Linked DNA regions of Pelodiscus sinensis. The protein of the gene in region 1 interacts with the protein of each later gene in a biochemical or structural test. Links are inferred from orthologs where the notes say so. Each region holds a gene or a part of one and is shown on either strand. Other genes may lie near its edges.

Region 1 (10,772 bases):
TGGGGGAAGGCTGGCTGGCCACTTGCCAGGGCTGACAGGAAGGCCCCAGGCAGGCCTGCGGGGAGACTGACAGGACACTCAGAACAAGCTTGTCCAAGGTCCCAGACTGCCAATGTCTTGGCCTTTCAATGGCTTCCTGAAGAACAATCACCCGGAAGAGCGCCAAGCGCGTCGGCTCCAAGGGGAAAATGCAGCCTCAACACATTTCCCCAGGACTCCAAAGGCCTGAACTCAGCACTAGCACAGCCAATTCTCTCCTCAGCTAAAAGCGGCACAGCAGAGCTGACAGCAGAACGCATGATTCAACACAGGCCCCATTCTCAGCATTCCCGATTCACAGAACTGTGCCACCAAACTAGTGTAAACACGCTGACGTCACCCCTTCCAGCAGCGCAGCCAGCTGGAGACAGCTCCGCCAGGGGAGGCCCATCCACAAGGGACGTCGACGGAGCGACGCAGTGAGGGCTTCTGCAGGGGACTGGCAGCCACAGTTGTCCAGGGGTGTGACCACAGGCAGGCAGGGCCCTGCTGGGATATTCGCTCTGACTGGACAAGCAGAAGTGGAGACTGTACTTCTCATTTCTTCACATCACCCCCCACTCATGCTGCAGCAGATGAGCCCACGTCGAACTAGTGCCCAGAGCATCTCTGCAGTGTAGCGAACACAGCGGAGCCGAGTCTCCGATACTCCTTTGCCCAGCGCGTTCGCCCCTTCCTGAACGCACAGCTCTGCTGCGAAGGGGAAGAGGAAGGGGCCCAAGACAGTGCACAGCAGAGGCCTTCCCAGCTTCGAGCAGCAAACCTTTATGGAATAAGCGGCCGCCTGAGAAGCCCGTCTCCCAGGAGAGGAAATGCCAGGCCACAAGGAGGGAGAGCAATTCCGCGCTAAGCAGGACCCTCAGTCTGCCCTGAAACCTGACAGGGAAGGTTCCAGTAGCACTTTCTGCTCCCACCGCAAGCAGCTAAACCCCCTCAACCCCTCCAAACCTTGCTAAGAACATAAGAATGGCCAGACTGGGTCAGACCAATAGTCCATCCCGCCCAGTGTCCTGCCTGCCCACGGTGGCCGATGCCAGATGCACCAGAGGGAGGGATCACAACAGGTCATCTCGTGATTCCTCCCGTCACTCACCTCCAGAGAAACAGAGGCCAGGGACCCCATTCCTACCCAGCCTGGCTAGTAGCCATTGACGGACCTGACCTCCATGAATCTATCTAGCTCCTTTTTGAAGCTCTGGGCAGGGGACTAAGCATCAGCCAGCAGCGCGTCTTTCCATAAGTAGCATTTGCTTCACACTTCTCCCTCAAACCTGGCCACTGGCCGGGCTCAGGAAAGCCCCCAAAGTCCAGTTCTTAGACCCCACTGTAGGATGCAGTGCGCCTCAGTGCCGCTAAGCCCTTCCCCCAAGGAAATGTCAACAGCAATGCAGAACAAACACGCACTCTCCCCCAGTGGCACAATGTGCAGCAGCTGCCCCAGCACAGAAGCTTTCACCCCAAGTGAAAACAGGAGACAGCAGCCCAAGTCGGGTCCCTGGGGCACAGAGACAAGCAAATGTTCAGGAGAAAGACAGGAGGGATGCAGCTTCTTGGCTTGTCCTTTTCTCTAGCAGTTATGGTCACAGGCAGGCCAAAGCGAAAGCAGTCCAGCCTCTGAGGTGACTGAAGAAAGTCCTGTCAGGTCTCACTGACACCTCACGCAAGCCCAGCCATCACCTCTCAGCTCAGAGCCCCATACCATTGCAGTGGAATTACTGGCTAGCAGACTGTGGGACACCGCAGGTTCGTTGGCTCTAGCAGAGTCCTCCTGCAGCGTACATCTTCACAGCCAAAGGAATCCTACAGGCAGCTCTTCACACACACCTACCCCAGCCAGGGGAGCTGGGAGAGCCAGCAGGAGCCTGCACCTTTGCTGACCACCCAGATAAGAGGGAGAGCACATGCTGCAAAGACTAACATTCTAGTAAATTCCCAACACGTAGGATAACTTGGGGCAGAGGCCATACATGTAATAAAACCATCCACCAGAATAACAGACCATGCTTATCTGGACCCTTCCTGTCCCTCCCTCTCCCTCCCCTTCCCCCGCTCCCTCAAACTCTGAGCATGTTTAGGTCAGGAAACAGGCCTTCTGCAGGGCTTGGAAGTGCCTGGTGCATTTTAGGGGCTACTGCACTCAAAGCAACAAACATGAGGGTTCACCCCGATACTGGAAAGCGTGACCTAGCATTCTGAACACAGGACTGGGAAGCAAAACACCCAAATCCTCCTCTTGGCTCTGCACTTACTGTGTGGCTTTGGGGGTGTTTCCACTTCTGCAGTGCGAGGTTGCTTGCCTGGTAGCTGGGAGCTTAATTCATTAACGTTTTGTACTAACTGACATTATGAATAAATGTCTTGCTACTACTATACGGTTCGGTTTGATAGGTAGGAGCTTTAGAAAAGTTGTGTGTGGGCTGGGAAACTTAACACAATGGCTGACATTGTGTCAACTCTGTTTCTATGGCAATGTGTTTTTAAAGATCACGCAAATGGAGTTAGGACTTGTCTACACTTACAGTCAGGCGCAGGAGAACACACCACAGTGGGCTACTTATTCCACAGCTGGTCATTGAAGGATTTCTCACACTTTCCTCTAAAGCAACTGGTTCTGGTTGCTGTCAAAGACTGGACTAGACAGACCACTGGCCTGAGCCAGTCTGGCCATTCCTGAATTCCTATAGGCACTGCACATACACCTAGAAGTAGGCAAGTATCTGCCATGTGCTTTTAAAGCCTTTGGCAAGACGTCCTGGAGAATCACAAAACATCCTTCAAATTACTCTGTAGCAATTATTGGCTGTTATTGTAAAACTCAGATGCACCCTTGACAGAGCTGGTCAAGGGCCTTTAGTAAAGCAAAGGCACCCCTGACCCTGGGCATAGCTACCAGAGGTGTCAGGCCTGACCCCACTTGTTTTGTTCTTCTGCCTTGTGGCCTCAGCATTCAGCCTTAGCAGAAATCTTGCTCAGGGAGAGATGGTGCACTTGTTGCACACAGAGTTTTTGGCTATTACCCAAGGCTCCCTGGTGTCCCACAATGGTGGGGTTAGTTGATTTCTGGGCACTTTGAGTAGATCTGTAGCACAGCTTTCCCCGTTATGCTTACATTAAGGGCATGCTAGCCCCCTCAGACCAGCCCTTGAAAGAGTTGTATTTAGGGGTATGAGGAGCATATGTAGCTCTGGGGCCCTGCGGGTGACTAGGGGAAGACTACTGCCCTAGCAGCTGAATCACCTGGAACACTAGTGAGGCAGGAGAGGAGCACAGGGTGTTCCAAGTACACACAAGCATGGGAGAGGTACCCAGAGCAGCCTGCTGGTCTCACAGCAGGAGCCCAGCCCCAGGGCTGGTTCTGACCTGGAAGTGTGCTCAGAATCCGCACTATGCCCCCCCAGCACAGCCGCCCGTCTCTACGCCCCTCACCCCCCAAACCTACGGTCTGTAACTCCCCCATTCGCCCTGCTGCCCGCAGCCCCTCCCGGCAGCGCCGCACACGAGGGGAGACCTGTCTCCATGACACCGCCCCCCTCGGCGATGAGTCAGCGTGTCAGCCTCGGACGCCCTCCCCATCCATTTGCAGACACGGACCGACCAACACGCCGGCCCCTGGTCCACGAGTCCCTCCCTCCCTCCCGCCGAGCGCCCCCTTGGCACCGTCTACCCGGTGACCTCATGCTGATGAGTCAGCAGCGTCTGCTCAGCAAGCACAAGGGGCGCGGGGCGGGGGGCGCGGGGCAGGCACCGGCAGCTCGGAACCCCCCGCCCGGCGCGACCCGCAGCGGCCCCCGACCTGCCTGCGCATCGCGCGGGGCAACAGCAGCGAGCAGGCATCACGCGTCCGCCCCAGCGAGCCGGGAAGGGGGGGCTCGCCGCTTGCTCCCCCCCGGAAGGGGGGCTCCCTACTCTCCCCCCCCCCAGTTTTCCACGGAAGGGGGCGCCCCGCTCTCTTCCCCACCGCGGTCTCCTCCTTCCCCCCCCACGTTCCCGAGGGGGCTCCCGGCGCTCTCCCCCGCCCCCCGGAAAGGCGGGGGGTCCCTGCCCCCCCCAGGCCCGGGGCAGAGCGGGGGTCCCCGGAAAGGCGGGGGGGTCCCTGCCCCCCCCAGGCCCGGGGCAGAGCGGGGGCCCCCGGAAAGGCGGGGGGGTCCCTGCCCCCCCCAGGCCCGGGGCAGAGCGGGGGTCCCCGGAAAGGCGGGGGGGTCCCTGCCCCCCCCAGGCCCGGGGCAGAGCGGGGGCCCCCGGAAAGGCGGGGGGGCCTCTGCCCCCCCCCAAGGCCCGGGGCAGAGCGGGGGCCCCCGGAAAGGCGGGGGGGTCCCTGCCCCCCCAAGGCCCGGGGCAGAGCGGGGGCCCCCGGAAAGGCGGGGGGGTCCCTGCCCCCCCCAAGGCCCGGGGCAGAGCGGGGGCCCCCGGAAAGGCGGGGGGGTCCCTGCCCCCCCCAAGGCCCGGGGCAGAGCGGGGGCCCCCGGAAAGGCGGGGGGGGGTCCCTGCCCCCCCCATGGCCCGGGCCCCGCCGCGCGCTCACCCGCCTCACGGTGCGGCCGGGGCCGGGGCTGGGAGGGACCGAGACTCCGAGATCCGCCGCCACCCGCCGCCGCTCACGGACACGTCACGTGATGTTTGGGTCACGTGGCTCCATTCATGAAGCGCCCGGCGCAACCGCCCCGAGCCTTAAAGGGAAGGAGGCTGCGGCCATTAGTGTCGGGGTAAAAAAAAGACAAGGGGCAGGCGGGGCCTTAAAGGGAAGGGGGCGGGGCGGGGCTCGGCTCGCCTGGCCACGTGCTGCGGGCAGCGTGCGCGGGAGCAGCTGAGCCGGGCCGCCCCACGTGGCGCATAAGGGGGCACGCGGCTCGAGGCAGCTGGGCGGGGTCGCTGCGTGTCCGGGCCGGGGGCGGGGCCCGGCTTAGGTGGGAGCCGGGAGGCGGGGCCTGCGCTGCCCCCCAGCTCAGAGCTGCAGCGGGGGGGGCAGCACACACAGCCCAGGGGGCCCGGCCTTGCTAGCTGCAGTTACACCGTGACGGGGGACTCAGTCACACACCCCCCCCCACCGGGAGCTGGTGGAATCTCCCTCTCTGGAGATATTTCAGAACAGGTTAGTGGCCTCTCGAGGTCCCTTCCAGGCCTATGATTCTATGATCCAATTAGCATCATTAGCTTGGGTCCTGCGCTTGACAGGTGGGTTCTGCTTACAGTAATTCCTCATTAAACACTAAACACTGTTTCTGAAAATGTTCATGCTGAGCAAAAATGTGCTATGGAGTCAATTTTCCCATTAAAAAGAATGGAAAAGGTGGGGGTTGCATTTCAGGTGGTGGTGGCAAAGTCAATTTTTTGTTGGTGCTGGGTCGGCAACGTCAGCACTAGGTATCTAGCACCACAAGTCGCCTGGTTTGTTAAAACACAAAGATAAACACGAGTGAGCGGAGAAGCACTGTGATCACGTGTATTCATCTGCTCAAGCATATTACCAGGGCTACAAATAATGTAATCTACTCACCCATGGCGAGTAGATTACAACCCGGAAGAGCCAGTGCAGAGTGATCTGCGCATGCGCAGAGTGCAGAACCACACGGCTGGCGAGCCCTGCATATTACCACTGTTTTCACCAACTTATATTGCTGCGTGAAGTAGTCTGCTACTTGATTATTTTTGTGTTATTTCGGGGACGGTCATGTTATTTGAAAAAAGGTCCCCAAAAAAATCGTGCTATTGCGAAAACGAGTTAAGCGGGCACATGTTAAACAAGTAATTACTGTATTCTGGATTCTGCTATTTCCACTCCAACTCACCAGATGAAGTGGGTTTTGTCCCACCCAGCTTGTGGTCTGATACATTTGTTAGTCTCTAAGGCAGGGCCGGATTAAGGGGGGGAGCTAGCTGGGCAGCTGCCCAGGGCACTAACCTATGGGGGGCACCACACACCCAGGGCCAGAGGCCGTGCCCCTTAAAGCTGCCATCAGGCTCCGCGAGCCCAATTGCTGCTGTAAGGTGCGCAGCGTGCCGGGGGGCAGGGCTGTGCATGTGCCATGTGCCCGGGGATGGAGCTGCACATGCATCGTACGCCTGCTGCCCAGGGCACAGGAATGGCTCGAGCCGGCCCTGCTCTAAGGTGCCACAGGACTGCACTTGTTGACAAAGAACACTGCATTGCACACGTGCAGAAGTCGGAAGAAGAAATCTTGACTGAAGTTGCAGGAGAGACACCAAGCTAGAAGGAAAGATCTGCATTGTACACTTAGTGACATGATAGCCAGACCTAGAGAATGTAGAAGAGCCCCCTGTGCTGCAGCAAAAAAGGTGGCAAGTGTATTGTGCAATGTGCAAAGTGAAAGGAAAAGTGCATGTTCTGCGTGTTTGTCTTCGCCTGGGTCTGATAGAGCTGAAGGAGAAGAAGATAGAGCTGGCAGGAAATACTGTCCTAAGGAGAATGGCAGGCAAGCAGAATGTAGACAGAGGCACATGGAAGAAACCCCAAAGATGAACTAAGGCTGAAGAGTGTATGTTCAAGGTGGACAGGTAATAAGAATGGTCAGCGAAGAAACCAGGCGAGCGTGGGCCAGCAGCCGGGCTATGGACAGTGACCAGTGCCAGGTGCGTGAGGGGGGTGAGCAGAGTAATCCTTGCCTGTCATGCACTTCCAGCTTTTGGCAGCAGAGGTTAGGGACACCTGAAACATAGGCTTGTATCCCTGGCTACCGTTGTTAATAGCCACCCATGGACCTCGCCCACATTCTCCTGGTTTCTAATGTATCTGTGAACTTACCTAATTCCTTTTGAAAGACTGTTATTATTTTGCCATTTGCAACATTCCCAGCAACAAGTTCCACAAGTTGTCTTGCGTTAAATACTTTTTGTTGTGTGATCCTTGTTTCTTGTGTTTTGTGAAGGAGCAAATAAGCACTTTAGTTATGTTCTCCACACCTGTCATGATTTTATACATTATCATGTCCCTTCCAGTCATCTCTTTTCCCACCCGATTAGTCCCAGTCTTATTAATTGCTTCTCATATGGAAGCTATTCCAAAGCCCGAATAAATTGTGTTGCCCTTTTCTGAACCTTTGCCAGTTCTATTGTATCTAATGCACATCTGTATGGTGCACCATGGATTTATTTAGAGACCATGTGATTATAGAATCCTAGGGCTGGAAGAGACCTCAGGAGGCCATCGAGTCCAGCCCCCTGCCCAAAGCAGGACCAACCCAACTAAATCAGCCCAGCCAGGACTTTGTCAAGTCGGGACTTAAAACAGTTACGGATGGAGATTCTACCCCCTCCCTAGGGAACCCATTCCAGTGCTTCACTCTCCTCCCAGGGAAATAGTTTTTCCTACTATACAACATAAGAACATAAGACCGGCCGTACTGGGTCAGACCAAAGGTCCATCTAGCCCAGTATCCTGTCTACCGACAGTGGCCAACACCAGGTGCCCCAGAGAGGGTGGACCGAAGACAATGATCAAGCGATTTGTCTCCTGCCATCCCTCTCCAGCCTCTGACAAACAGAGGCCAAGGACATCATTTTATCCCCTGGCTAATAGCCTTTTATGGACCTAACCTCCATGAATTTATCCAGCTTCTCTTTAAACTCTATTATAGTCCTAGCCTTCACAGCCTCCTCTGGCAAGGAGTTCCACAGGTTGACAACACGCTGTGTGAAGAAGAACCTAGATCTCCCCCACTGTAACTTGAGACCATTGCTCCTTGTTCTTGTATACAAAAGATATTTTGTATCTTATTATATTTCCCTTTTGTAATATTTCCTAATATTGTGTTGGCTTTCTTTTGACCACTGTTGTACACTGAGAAGATGTTTTTTCCGAGAACTATCCACAATGACTTCAAGATCTCTTTCTTGAATGGCTCCAGTTAATTTAGACTGTCATATTGTACGTATTCTCTTTGGGATTATATTTTCCAATGTGCATTACTTCGTACTTATCAACAATTAATGTCCTCTGCTATCTGGTTGCCCAATCATCCAGTACAGTGAAACTCCTTTGTAAGACTTCCCAGTCAGCTTTGAACTGAACTATCTCAAGAAGTTTTTGTCTTAACTGCATATTTTGCCAGATCACTATTTATCTTTTTTTGCAGATAATTTATGAATATGTTGACTAAGATTGGGCCCCATCCTGGGAGACACCACTAGTTTCTCCATTCTGAAAACTGACCATTGTTCTCTACCTTGTAACCAGTTACTGATCCATAAGCATGTTCCCTCTTATCCCATGACTGCTTAGTTTCCTTAAGAGCCTTTGATGTGGGACCATGTCAAAGGCTTTCTGAAAGTCTAGGTATACATGCAGTCCCCGAGTTACGCGGATCCGACTTATGTTTTTCTCGCCCTGGAGGATGGAAGTGGCGGGATGCCCAGATGCGCCACGGTCCCGCCGCCCGCGTCCTCCAGGGCGAGAAAAGCTGCTCCACGTCTCCCTGGTCTGCTGGTGGCTGTCCCGCTGCCAGCGTCCTCCAAGGCTTTACTCCCCGTCTCCCTGGTCTGCTGGTCTCCAGCAGACCAGGGAGACACGGAGCAAAGCCACGGAGGACCCGGACGGCGGGACCACGGTGCATCTCGGTCCGCTGCCCGCGTCTTCCTGGTCTGCTGGGGGGTGGGCGCAGCTAGTGCACCCCCCACCCCCAGCAGACCAGGCTTTTCTCCAGACGCCTGTGGTAGAGCAGCTGGGGCGCTGCTGGTTGGTCCCGCAGTGCTGCTCTAGGCACTACTGGACCAACCCAGCAGCACCCCAGTTGCTCTGCCCCAGGCATCCTGATTCCCCAGCAGCGGCTGAATCAGGACGCCTGGGGCAGAGCAGCTGGGACACTGCCGGTTGGTCCCGCAGTGCTGCTCTGGGCGCTACTGGACCAACCCGGCAGCACCCCAGCTGCTCTGCCCCAGGTGTCCCCAAGTCAGCCGCTGCTGAAACTGACCAGCGCTGACTACAGGAAGCCAGAGGCAGAGTTGCTCTGCCCTGGGCTTCCTGGAATCAGCCGCTGATCAGTTTCAGCAGCAGCTGACTTGGGGACTCCTGGGGTTCTTAAGTTGAATCTGTATGTAAGTCGGAACTGGCGTCCAGATTCAGTCTGTTGAAACTGATCAGCGGCTGATTCCAGGAAGCCCGGGGCAGAGCAACTCTGCCTCGGGCTTCCTGTAGTCAGCCGCTGGTCAGTTTCAGCAGCGGCTGAATCTGGACGCCAGTTCCAACTTACATACAGATTCAACTTAAGAACAAACCTACAGTCCCTATCTTGTACGTAACCCGGGGACTGCCTGTACTTCATCCACTGGATCTGCCTTGTCTACATATTTGTTGAACCCCTCCTAGAGTTCTAATAGATTGGTGAGGTCTGATTTCCTTTTAGAAAAGTTGTATTGACTCTTCCTCATCATAGCATGTTCATCTATGTGTCTGATAATTCTGGAGGTTTTGTTTTTCTTTAAATTTCAGCAATCCAACTGGTACTGATATTAGGTTTACCAGCCTGTGATTGCAAAGCCTATTGGAGCAGGCTTTTTAAACAATGGGTGTCCCATTAGCGATCCTCCAGTCATCTGGTACAAAGGCTGGTTTAAGCAGTAAGTTACACACCACACACAGTGTTCCCACAATTTCCTATCCAAGTTCCTTCAGAACTCCTGGGTGAATACCATCTGGGCTTGGGGACTTCTTAGTGTTTGATCTGACACTTCAATCTGGGGCAGTTCCTCACAGACATGCTGATTGGCTGCTTACCCCCCCCCCCCCCCCCAGAAGGCAGGGAAGTGGGAGGCAGCCAAGCACAGGGGTTTCCCTTGCCAGGAATGTGGGAGGAGCTAGGCATATGCTGTCCGGTGGCCCCCAACCTGACATAGGTTTCACAGCTACCTGGGGCCACACTCTGGCCTGGGCACCTCCTGGACCAAGCTGCCCCTGGAGGGCAGTCACACCACACATCTTGCCCTGCTGGTGAGAGCCTGGGGAAGAGGGGGATCATCCAGCATTGCAGAGCCCGACTGCCTACTTCGATCACCACTGGCAGGGATGATGGGCAAGGGGCAGCCCAGCTCAGTACAGGTGATCCCCACCAGTGCCAGGAACGGGGCACTGTTGTGAGGGGAAACCGCCCCCCCCCCCATTCACAGAGATGTATCATGGGATGCTGTGGCAAGAGACACTGGGCTGGTGCAGGGAGGCAGGCCCAGCCCCGTGGGACGGAGATGCTCCAGGATGGGCGTGGGGCAGTCTCACTCTCCACACTCCCCTGGGAACCTCATATCGTCCCATAAGTGACAAGACCCAGTCCATAGACACCACGTCACGCCCCTGAGACCAGGGCCACCTGCCCCTTTGCAAATCTCTGGCCCACAAGTGGAATTTAGTGGATTTTGTAGTTCCTTAAAATTGCCTCAAAGGCAAGTAATAGAGCTTAACGTTTGCCACAGGAAACCCGCTTTCTGCTTTTCTCCCACACAGCCATGCTGGAGGAGTCAGTGAACGTTTGAGACAAGACTTGTGCCACGAGCGCTGTCACAGCATCTCACCTCCATCTGCCTTGCCCCTTCTGTGAACCACACGGTGGGTCTGGGGGATGGGTTCCCTGAAGGTCTGTGGCAAGAGACGATGATGATGTGCACTGAGAGAGGTCTGCTGGTAATACGCCTGCCTCCCTCAGTGTGCACTAATCCAGATTATGGCTTGAGCCTTCAGCCTCCTGAGGGCAGAAAGAACTCCAGCCTTCTTCCCAAGGCAGCTGAGTGAC
Region 2 (10,904 bases), on another chromosome or scaffold:
GCCTGCCCTGATGGCTACTCAGTGTTTTGGGATCTCTGCTGCCCTGCAGGCATGCGCCCCATCCCTTTCAACACTCGGGGAAGTGTCTGGCAGTGGAGTGAGCGGCTCCGTTTGGGGAACAAACCAAGAGCAAATCATTGGGATGCTCCTTTTCTGCCCTGCTAGAAGCAGAGCAGCAGGCTGGCTGCTGCTGCAGGGGGAGGGCTGGAGAGGCGGATTCCTCAGCATGCAGAGCTCCTAGGGAATCCCAAGAAGCAGCGGGGGAGGAGGATCCGCTCTGCCTTCCCACAGCACTGCCCTGTGGGATGCTCCCCCACAATGCTTTGCTCTGTTTCTCCACAGGGAGCTAGAATGTGGTCAAGAAATGTTGACAATGGGAGGCAGGAAACCGGTTTGATCACTTTTCACTTTTGGAGGCTTTTGCATGTCAACAAAAGCCAAACCCTCCCAGTTTGGTTACCTGAAGGGGGGCTGGATGCCCCTGCCTGGGGTTAGTCTGAAAAAAGCCCAGCTCCTCTGAACTCCTAGAAGTGGGTAATAACTGAGCTCCAGCCAAACCAAGCTCGGGAACCCTGCAGGACCTAAGCACCCGATGATCCAGGGGTGAGCAGTAATTTTTGATGGGGGGGGGGGGCTCCAAGGGTTTGGTAAGCGGTGGAGGGCCGCACCGCACGCTTCCTTGGTATTGAGCAGGTGCGAGTCTGGGATGGAGGCCGGGTGCAGACGGGCGCTTGGGGTGAAATCCTCACCGCTAAGAGGCTTGTAACATTGGGAGGCCGCGGTCGTCTCTCTGGAGACAAAAATCATTATCGGGGCTTCATTGTTAAACCCTTTGCCAGTTAGCAGCCTCCACCAGAGGGGACGCCGCGCCTCTGGGCTGCACCAGCCCCGCTGGGGTCAGAGAGTGAAGTTTGCTACAATATGAACCCCCTGACGGCTGCTCTAATTTATAATGGCTGGCTGTGGATACCAGAGGGGTTATTTACCAACCAGAGACAGCTGGAGCACGGTGTTTCCTGGCCAAGTTCCCCCTCCCGGGTTCCTTTGTGGCACCCCCCCCCCCCCCCCCGAGAGCACAAAGAAGACAGGGCAAGGGACAAAATCTGGCCCAGTATTTCCCGTGCTCCTAGTGGGCAAAATAATTATAACGTTCACTTCTCTGCACCCATTTGTAAGGCCAGGCAGCGTGAGGATGGGGAGGGCGGGTTTGCTGGTATTTAACAAAAAAATCTTTTGGAGTTGAGCCACAAACAAAAGAGTTTGAAATGTTGGGTGAATTGAAAAGTTGGGGGGGGGGTTGGGCCAAATGAAACATTTCATTACATCACAAAAACATTTCGTCTGGATTTCTACATGTTAAAGGTTTTTAAAATAAAAGGGAAGCAAATGTGTCAATGAAACATCCTATTGAACTGAGAAATTGACACCGTGTAGAGGTTTCTGCATGTTTGTGGTGGGGTTCCCTGGTGAAATTGACAGGACAGAGCGGCGGTCTCTACAGCTATGCGCACGCTTTGCACTGGTGTAAATGCCTGCCCACGGGGCAGAGTGATGGTGAATCAGGGCCTAGATCAGACCACCTGGACCCTCATTAGGTGCTGCAACACCCCAGGGCTCCTGGCCTAGCACCTCGGGGCCCAGCTGCTGGGACTCTGCTGGGGACCCAGCTGCTGCCCTGCTCTCTGCTGCTGGCTCCGTACTCAGGATCCCAGCTGCTGCCCCGTGCGCCTGGGGTCCTAGCTGCTGGCCCCCCACACCAGGGCTTTGCTCCCAGCCTCAGCTGGGTGGGGGGAAGCCAGAGGAAAGGGGAGGATGTCAGCACCCCTCACTCCTAAAACTGTTCCCCCCCGCCGCCTTACTGGCTGTGCTTGGTATTTCAGGCTGTTATTACCCCATCGGGCTGCAGAGGGGGGGAAGGCCACACCCGGGCTTGGGGAACCTTGTTCCCCATCAGATGCTGAGAGGAGGGGGCTGCACCTGCACAGTGGCTCTGGCCTTTGCAGAACAAACTCCGACCTGACTTGACCTCGACATGCAGCTGGGAACTTTCCGGGGGGAGGGGCAGCTCAGAGCTTTCTAGGTGCTTCCTCTGGGTTTCCTTTCTTGGCACCTCCATAGCCACAAGGATCCTGACTTGTCCGCTCTCAAGAGCAGCTGCCTGTCTAGCCAGGGAGTACCCAGGCACTGATCCCTTTGGGATGCAAGCCCTGGGACAGATGAGGCTGCTAATCATCAGAGGGTATAGCTCAGTGGTAGAGCATTTAACTACAGCTCAAGCGGTTCCCCAGTTCAAATCCAGGTGCCCCCTTCAAAAGTTTTAGGGCAGGGGACTGGACTCAATGGCCTCTCGAGGTCCCTTCCAGTCCTAGTATTCTCTGCCGTCTGTGCTGCTCGTAGGGACGGTAACATTAGATGAATCAACTAACGGAACAGTGGATGGGATTTCTATCGACTAGTTGCTGAGGGCGCTTCCGCTTTGAAATGTAGCAAGCGCCCGCCTGGCTGTTGTGCCACTGACGTGTACGAGGGCCCAGCAGAGGTTCATGTGGATTTCAAAGACTGAAGCACCGCAGGGAGCCCAGAGTCAGCCGGGGACTCCCCGCTGGTCCCCGGTTCCAGGCTGCATTTCTATCTTTGAAATGCACAAGAGCTTCTGCTGGGACTCTCTCGTACATTTCAAAGGCAGAACGACACCGCGCCCCTGCCCCCTCCCACTGAGCTGGAGCAGGGGGGGAACCAGCTTTTAGGCCAGCTCCCCTCACTACCCCCTTCTTCCCCCCCTCCCCCACTGCCTTTTTCTCATAGAGGCAGCGGTCGGGGGGGTGGGGGAAGCGACTAGTTGACTAGTGTGTTGACTCTTGGCTAAGGTTTTGCTTATTGGACAGTCGACTAGTTGATTAGTCGCTTACACTCCTAGTTGCTAGCGAGGCTCCGCAACATAACACAATCTCATTAGGCTTCAGAGTCATACAGCACCACCTCCTATGCTCAAACATCCCATTGTCTGCCAGGCTGGGAATGCCCCAGAGCATGGGCTGAGGTTTGATTAAGGCAGCTGTTCCTGCTCTGTGCCGTCTTGTATAAATAGCAGCTAGCGGGGTGGTGCTGCTAAATGCCTTAGCTTCCTGATGGATCCACCCTCTGTGAGCCACCCAGCTTCAGACAATGGCTGGGAAAGTTCCCTTTTAAAGGGCACGTGGAACCGGGCACTGAAGCGCTCGGAGGCTTTTCGCAAAGAGGCGCTCCAGTCTATTGGAATGGATTCGGGAAGTCTAGCAGGCTGCTCCAACGTGTCTCCCATGGCTCAGACTGGTTCTCGAACACTTTGTGAATCTCTTTCATCCTTCCCCTCCTTGGCAGAGGGCCGTTTTCCACAGCCGGGGTAAGACAACTCCCGAGGGAGTCAAGCCAAATCCTCACAGAAATGTAAGGTTGGAAGGGACCTCAAGAGGTCGTCTCGTCTAGCTCCCACGCGGAGGCGAGACCAAGTACGCTAGTCAATCCCCGATGACAACGTTCCTTCTACGTTTTTTCCATCCAGTGTGCGGAATACATTTTGCCATGTGCACGAAGGCAAGTGTGGATGTGCACCACCAATACACACACACGCTGTCGGCTGTGGGTGCTCTGCCAAGTAGCTGAGTGGGATTTGAATCCCTCCTGGGCAGCAGTCCAAGTACTCGGCTTACAGGGAATGCTGCCGGACCGGTGCTTGTCCGGCCTGTTGGTAAAAACCTCCACGGATTCCACAGTCCCCTCGGGAGCCGGATCATCCTACTTTGCACATGGCTCAGGGCAGCAGGGTGAAGCCCCTTTGCCCTGCCAAGATGAAATCCAGCCCAGGTGGGCAGTGCCCCGCGGAGGCCGAGGCGAAGCCGGTTAGTGGGCGGAGCCCCGCTCGTAGCTGTGCGCTTCAGAAAACGCCGTTTCCAAAAGGGACATCTCTGCTGGCGGCCTGGCCACAGAAGCTGGGCTCTGAGTCCCCTTTTGCCCCTGCCCCAGCGGGATGCTTGCCTGCCAATGTGCATCTCGTGCCCTGGTCCGTGGCTCAAAGATCACTGGTGCTAAAGCAACATGGAGATTGACTGGGAACAGGCCTATCCATGGGACGGACCCTGGGGGCACAGCCCCACGGCCAGGATGGCAAGTAGGATTGAGCCAGGCAAGGAGCCCAGCTCTCATAACGGGGATCAATTGGGAAAGATACAAAGAACCGGCTGAGATGGGTGATTTGAGACACTCCTGCTCCGGGCTGCTTGTTTATTGAAATAACTCACAGAGAATCCATCAGCAGAAAGCAGAGACGTGAACTCCTGTGTAATTCGTTAACCGGTTAGAGGTGATGTTTAGCCAAGTAACCGGGGGCCGGGCGGGGGTCCCCTCTAGCCTGGCTAGGCTACAGCAGCTCCCCCGCCCACTGCGGCCAGGCTGGAGTGGCGACCCCCCCCCCCCCACCATAAGCAGGGGCAGCTTCAGCCTGGCCAGAGCAGCCCCCTGCCTTCAATGGATCCTGCCTGCAGCAAGTGCCGAGCTGCTCTAGCCCCACTGGTTAACCTGAATTGTAGCTGTCACCCATTAAGGGCAGTGCTTACGGGTTAACCAGTTAACCTTTCACATCCCTGGCGAGAGGCACTTGGGTACTGACGGAACAATCCAATGGTCAATAATCACATTGGACCCACTGATACGCAGCACCCCAGACTCCCTGGCAGCCATGGGGGCAAATGGAAAGAGGGGACATTAAAGGTCCTGTACTAGGGACCCAATGGAGAGAGCAACAGGATGGTGCTCACTCGCTGGCCCGCTCCGCTGCACGACCTCCCGCCAGTCGCTTCCCCTTTCTCCACAAGCAGAAGAGAGAGCAGAGCAGTGCTGCCGGTGAGGTGCTCGGAGATCCACGCACAAGCAGCCCGGGGTGCTAGGATGAAGACTCATCTGAGGCACCTGCAGGACTTAAGGGTGAGATCTGAAAACTGCCGCTGGGAGTTTCAGTCCTACCTCCTAAAGCAGAAGGTTCCATGGAAAAGGCCCTCGAGCTAAGGGCGCCTTGTCGAAAACGCAAGACAGTTAGCAAAGGCACAGGACAAAAAACGGTCAGGCGAGTAACCTTGGCACTCGATTAAGGACCTTAGAAATGAGCGATTAGCCCCTGTGATGACGAATGATGGGCCAGGGGTGAAAGCACAACGCTGGCGGACCCGATTCCTCAGTTCTATTTCCAGCTCTGCCATTGGCTCTCACTGTAGTTGGCCGTATTAAGGCCTCTGGGGAGGGGCAGTTTCGAGGCCTCTGGGGTGGTAGTTGGCGGTATTTACGGCCCCGAGATGAAAGCTGGCAGTTTTGAGGCACCCAGGGTAGTAGTTGGCGGTTTCGAGGTCCCCAAGATGGCAGTTGGCGGTTTCCAGGCTCCTAGGGTAGTAACTGGCAGTTTCCAGGCCCCCAGGGTAGTAACTGGGGGTTTCCAGGCTCCTAGGGTAGTAACTGGCAGTTTCCAGGCCCCTAGGGTAGTAACTGGGGGTTTCCAGGCTCCTAGGGTAGTAACTGGCAGTTTCCAGGCCCCCAGGGTAGTAATTGGCGGTTTCGAGGGCCCTGGGGTGGTAATTGGCGGTTTCCAGGCCCCTAGGGTAGTAACTGGGGGTTTCGAGGGCCCTGGGGTGGTAATTGGCGGTTTCCAGGCCCCCAGGGTAGTAATTGGCGGTTTCGAGGGCCCCGGGTGGTAGTTGGTGGTTTCAAGGCCCCCCAGTGGCCTGGCCGAATGGTGTCACAAGAGGGCTCCAACAGGGGGCCAGGCACTGGTGCCTGATGGCCGGGTCGAGCCTACACTCTCTCCAGGCCGGGCTTCTAGGGCGTAGGCCGGAGGGAGCCGGGAATCGCCATGGCAACAGCATGGGAAAGGCGTCGTAGTGGATCCGCAGAAGGTGATTGGTCACTGATGCCGTCATTCAAGCTGCCGGGGGGCGGGCGTACGTGTGCGTCTGCGGAGCGGCGAGATCCGCTATCGCGATTGGCCGGCCTTGCCGTCACTCACTCTGACGCGAGCTCGCTGTTGTTCTCTGTCTAATTGGCGCCGCGCTCCGTCACTGAAGCGGCTTTGGGAGCGGGCGGGGTGGGCTGGGCTTGCTGCTTTCCGATTGGGTAGCTCAGTTGCCACTCTCCAGCCCCTGAGGGCGGGCGGAACGCCTCGCCCGGTGATTTGGCGACCGACCTGTCAGTTCCACTGTCCTCGGCGGCGGATTGGCGGGATGCCGCACGGGGGCGGGCTCAGGCCCGCGGTGCAGGGAAGAGGCTGTTGGAGCTGAGCGTGTGGGGCCGGCCGGCCGGCGGTGGCTGCCTGCGGGGCCGGAAGCCTCGTGGCTGAGGAGCGCGCGGAGCGGGTACCGGAGAGAGACCGGGCGCTGAGAGGGGGGAGAGGGAGAGACAGGGGAGCGGGGAGGGGCAGAGTGGGGGGGCTAGGCGGGGGGAGGGGTAGAGTGGGGGGAGGGGGGCAGAGTGGGGGGGGCTAGGCGGGGGGAGGGGCAGAGTGGGGGGAGGGGAGCAGAGTGGGGGGCTAGGCGGGGGGAGGGGAGCAGAGTGGGGGGCTAGGCGGGGGGTGGGGAGCAGAGTGGGGGGCTAGGCGGGGGGAGGGGCAGAGTGGGGGGAGGGGAGCAGAGTGGGGGGCTAGGCGGGGGCAGGGGGCTAGGCGGGGGGAGGGGAGCAGAGTGGGGGGCTAGGCGGGGGGAGGGGGGCTGGGAGGGGGGCAGAGTGGGGGGCTAGGCGGGGGGAGGGGGGCAGAGTGGGGGGCTAGGCGGGGGGAGGGGAGCAGAGTGGGGGAGGCAGGGATAAGTGCAGGGTGAGGTTGAAGAGGAAGTGAGGGGTGGGGGGAGGAGGGAGCCGGGTGTAGTGGGTAGCTGGGGGTAAGGGAGAGTTGGGGTGAAGACAGGTGGGAGGTATGTATTTGAGTGTGTGTGCATATGGGAAAATTGGAGCTTAAGGGGAGACTAGCATTTGGGGGGCTATAGGAAGATTCTCCTCTACCCACCCCTCTGCTGGTTCACATCTCCTGTGAAATGTGGGTAAAAGGTTTAGGGAGGAGGATTGAAAGCCCAAGAATAGTGTTGGGGGGGAAGTTCCCTTCCACCCCATAGATTCCAAATGGGAAGTGCGAGGGAGGGTGTTTACCCTAATGGGTTTGAGGGACGGGGTTGTCTTGGGGTTCAGACAACGGGTGGGAGGTGAATTAGAGAGTGTAGGAGATTAAGGGGCATGCAGGACATGATGTACAGTAGAATAGAATTTAAGCAGTGATATTTTTGGGGTGGATGGGACGAAAGGGACTTAACAGACTGTACAGTGGATGGGTTTTTAGCAACTGGCACCCCATTGTGCTATTTAAATAATAGCGGGCAGCCCCCTATCTTCTCATGCATTTTGCAGTAGTGTTCAGCACTGGGGGAATTCCTGTTGTTCCCATGAGGATTGGGGTGCTCTTTGGGAAGATGTAGAGAGGATCAAATTGTTTGAGGAAATGAAAAGCACAGTGATCTAGATGCTGGAATTAAAGGTTTGGGAGGAATCTAAAACTTGGTGGGCAGGGACTCCTTGTTCCTTTCAATTTCTGAGTGACTACATCATAAAAAGTTTCCCAGTACAAAAGGAAATAGTTTGGCTGCTGGATTAATTGAGATCTGACAAGTGAGAGAGTTGATAAATTAGAAAATTGGTCTGTAATTATATGTAGGCTCGTTAGAAGTAGATTTTTATCCATGAACATCAGTACATATTGAGTTTTCTGTATACACACAAACTGATGAGAAAATATTTCCATCAATGATAATCAACAGACAGTTTGTGAAAATGTATTACTTTGATTTAAGGATATTGACTTTGCATATTTTGGCATGTGATGTTGATAATTTGGGTTTTAATGTTTATTAAGCATTAACTTTGTTTTGAATCTCAACTTCCACTGTCATTAAATAATTATCTGGCCTGCATAATTTTCCATAACTGTAAAAATTTAAATGATTAAAAATTGAAAAAAATGCTAAAAATACAATTGATGTTGAAATTGTAAAAGAAGAATTCTGCCCAACCTAAGTATTGGTTGACTCTTAACAAATGAGGTAGGCGGGAAGGAATTGAAATTGTGCTTGTTTTGCTTTGAGGGGTTACTTAGTTGCGGATAACAACAGAAGGGACAGCTGAGATTTGGGGATTAGGGGTTACTTTAAACACTCCTCCCACTCTTGCCAATATTGGGAGTTTGAGAACAGAAATCCATCCACAAACAGTGCTCAGAAGCTGTTGAGTCCACACCTGGCAACCTTTGAAACCTATAAAAAAACAGGGACACTGGGTGGAGGTGAAAAATAGGGATGTACCCTGTGACATCCTCAAAATACATTGAAGTGGGACAGGTGTTTGAAAGAACAGATGGTGGAGGAGGGGTGTAAATTTCACTGCAAAATTGCACTCTCCTCAATTGGGACGCTTGGTGTGTGGTGAATTGCCCAGGAAGGTCACATTGTGGAATAAATGCATCATAAGCATGTTTTGTTTTGTTTCTTTAAAGCTCCTTTGTGAGTGGTGGCAGGCAGAGGAGAAAGGACTGCATAGGCAGGTAGCGAGCCCTGGGGTTGCTTACATTTGCTTGTGCAGTGGTCACGGCCGCTTATTTGCTGCATAAAGCCCTGATTGGAAGCTCACTGAAAACTGGAGTGAAAGGGAGTCAGAGCTGAATTCCTGCTTCAGAGAGTGGAAGCTGACGCACCAGCCTAAGAATAGAGCAGAGAGGGGAACTCGTACAACATTAACTCAAAAGATAGCCCCTGTTTTGTGGATATTTCATCAGCAAGCCATTCTTTGGAGGGCAGTCGATTTTATTTTGTACATGGCTTATATACAGCGGTGAAACTGATGCTTCCCAGTATAGCAACTGCATGTGTAATGTGTAGGGTGATGTCTCGTCAGCGTCTTATCGTGTTTGTTCTGTGGTTCTATTTCAGCTTCTGATGAAACCACAGCCAGGACTGGAGGAGTCGCTGAACCCTTCCTTGCTCCAAATCTTTGACTCTTCAAGCTTCCTTCAGGAAGCTTCTCAAACCCAGAGGAGAGGGAGAAGCAGCAGCTACTTGTGCTAGAGAACACACCCTGCTCTGGAAGCAGAGTGGTGAATCAGGAAGGCGAGAGGAAGTGACTGCATGTGGACTTTTGAGACAGTAAGTCACATGGGTTTATATGTAACCTCGTGGACTGTTATCAAACAGCAATAGCTCTGAAGAGGAGGGGAGCGTGCTGGAGAGGGACTTTGTTTACTGGGGTATAAGTTCTTTCCTCTGGAGAGTGTAGATAGGTAATTTGGCTCTCCCGAGTAACCTGATTTTGGAACAATTGGGGGATTAAAAAAGAGAACCTAAAACTGAAGCTTTGAATTTTTCTAAAACTTTCCCTCTTGGTGAATGAGGATACTTTGAGCTCTCGGTTTTTGCTGTGTTTCCCCACCCATGTTTGTTTTTTTTCCTCTTCCAGAAATGCTTTCTCTGAAGAAATATTTCACTGAAGGGCTCATTCAATTCACCATTCTACTCAGCTTGATAGGTGTTCGTGTGGACGTGGATACCTACCTGAACTCGCAGCTTCCCCCTCTGAGGGAAATCATTCTGGGCCAGAGCTCTGCTTACACCCAGACGCAGTTCCACAACCTGCGGAACACCTTGGACGGATATGGCATCCATCCAAAAAGTGTAGACCTGGACTATTACTTCACAGCCCGCAGGCTCCTCAACCAGGTGAGGGCCCTGGACAGGTTCCAGGTGCCCACCACCGAAGTAAATGCCTGGTTGGTGCATAGAGACCCGGAGGGTTCTGTGTCCAATGCCCAGCCCAGCCCAGCCATCACCCTTGAGAATGGCAGTGGCCTGCAAGATGGGACCAATCCTGACAATGGCATGAGGGAGAGCGGAGCTGAGCAAGGATTTGGTGAAGAATTGGAAGACCTAGGAGCAGTGGCTCCTCCAGTGAATGGAGACTTGACCAAAGAGGTAGGCAGCACCTTTTAGGAAAGATGTGTTCCAAAGAAAGGGAACGGTTGGAGTGTGACGTTGTGTGTGCGTACCTTCTGCAATGCCCACTGAAAGCGGGTGTGCTCTGCACTTCTGAATAGCCGATTCCCTAGGAATCGATGAGCTGCATGGCACTGGACTGAATAGTGAGGTTGGATGTTCTGGAGGGGGGCGGGGCTGTGTCTTGGTCTGCAGTCGGGTGGCTAGTCAGTAATTCAGTTTGAGTGGAGATTTGCATTTATGGGAATGAGACAATAGCACCTTCTGTCGATTTCCCAGTATTGGGTAACAGCCCCTGAGTCATGTGGGTGGTAGATTACTTGGCTCTGGAGTTTGTCCAAATAATGTTTACAGCTTGGTTGTCAACATAGAGTGGGGAGGAGAGTGAATTGGAAAATGGCTTTTTTTTCCCATCCAAATGTATTCTCTTAGTTGCTATGACACAGCCATGTGTTTGACTCCTCAGCAGCTGCTACGCTGTTTCCATTAGCGTTCTTTGTCAAGGCACATTCTGGCTTTGCTTCCCCGTGGCTGTATTGTATTGCTTCTAGTGATGAATTCCGGTGGAAAATGTTGGCATGGATGTTACAGCCTCTCTCCTAAACTGCTGCCGCTTGGACAACCTATTATAGATGGTGGAGAGTAGGCATAGGGAGGTTCAAACCGTCCTGATCCTTAATCCTGTGGTGAAGCTTAGGGGCAGCTCTTTGCAATCAGAAGCAGGGGAATTCTGTGGACAGCTGTTGAGGCTGTCCTGAGCTTCTGTCATGGGACTTCAGCACAGCTCCAGGCAGGGAATAGCATAAATGTCTCTGATGTGAAAGTGTTCACCCAGGAGAGGAAAGTGGTACATCCTGCTTCAGA

The links.
Region 2: the proteins of MAFG (region 1) and NFE2L1 form a complex in vitro, tested with the Homo sapiens proteins (2 studies listed by BioGRID and IntAct, with this or other methods). The link is inferred for Pelodiscus sinensis from reciprocal best matches to the Homo sapiens genes MAFG and NFE2L1.

Annotation. Positions count from the first base shown.
Region 1 is NC_134730.1:29,832,947-29,843,718, forward strand, and holds the start of MAFG (transcription factor MafG), read right to left. Parts: upstream 4,729-10,772; 5' UTR 4,562-4,728; intron 1-4,561. UniProt on the Homo sapiens protein: Since they lack a putative transactivation domain, the small Mafs behave as transcriptional repressors when they dimerize among themselves.
Region 2 is NC_134739.1:13,725,431-13,736,334, forward strand, and holds the start of NFE2L1 (endoplasmic reticulum membrane sensor NFE2L1), read left to right. Parts: upstream 1-6,219; 5' UTR 6,220-6,374; intron 6,375-8,984; 5' UTR 8,985-9,197; intron 9,198-9,245; exon of another isoform or gene 9,246-9,331; intron 9,332-9,507; 5' UTR 9,508-9,509; coding exon 9,510-10,019; intron 10,020-10,904.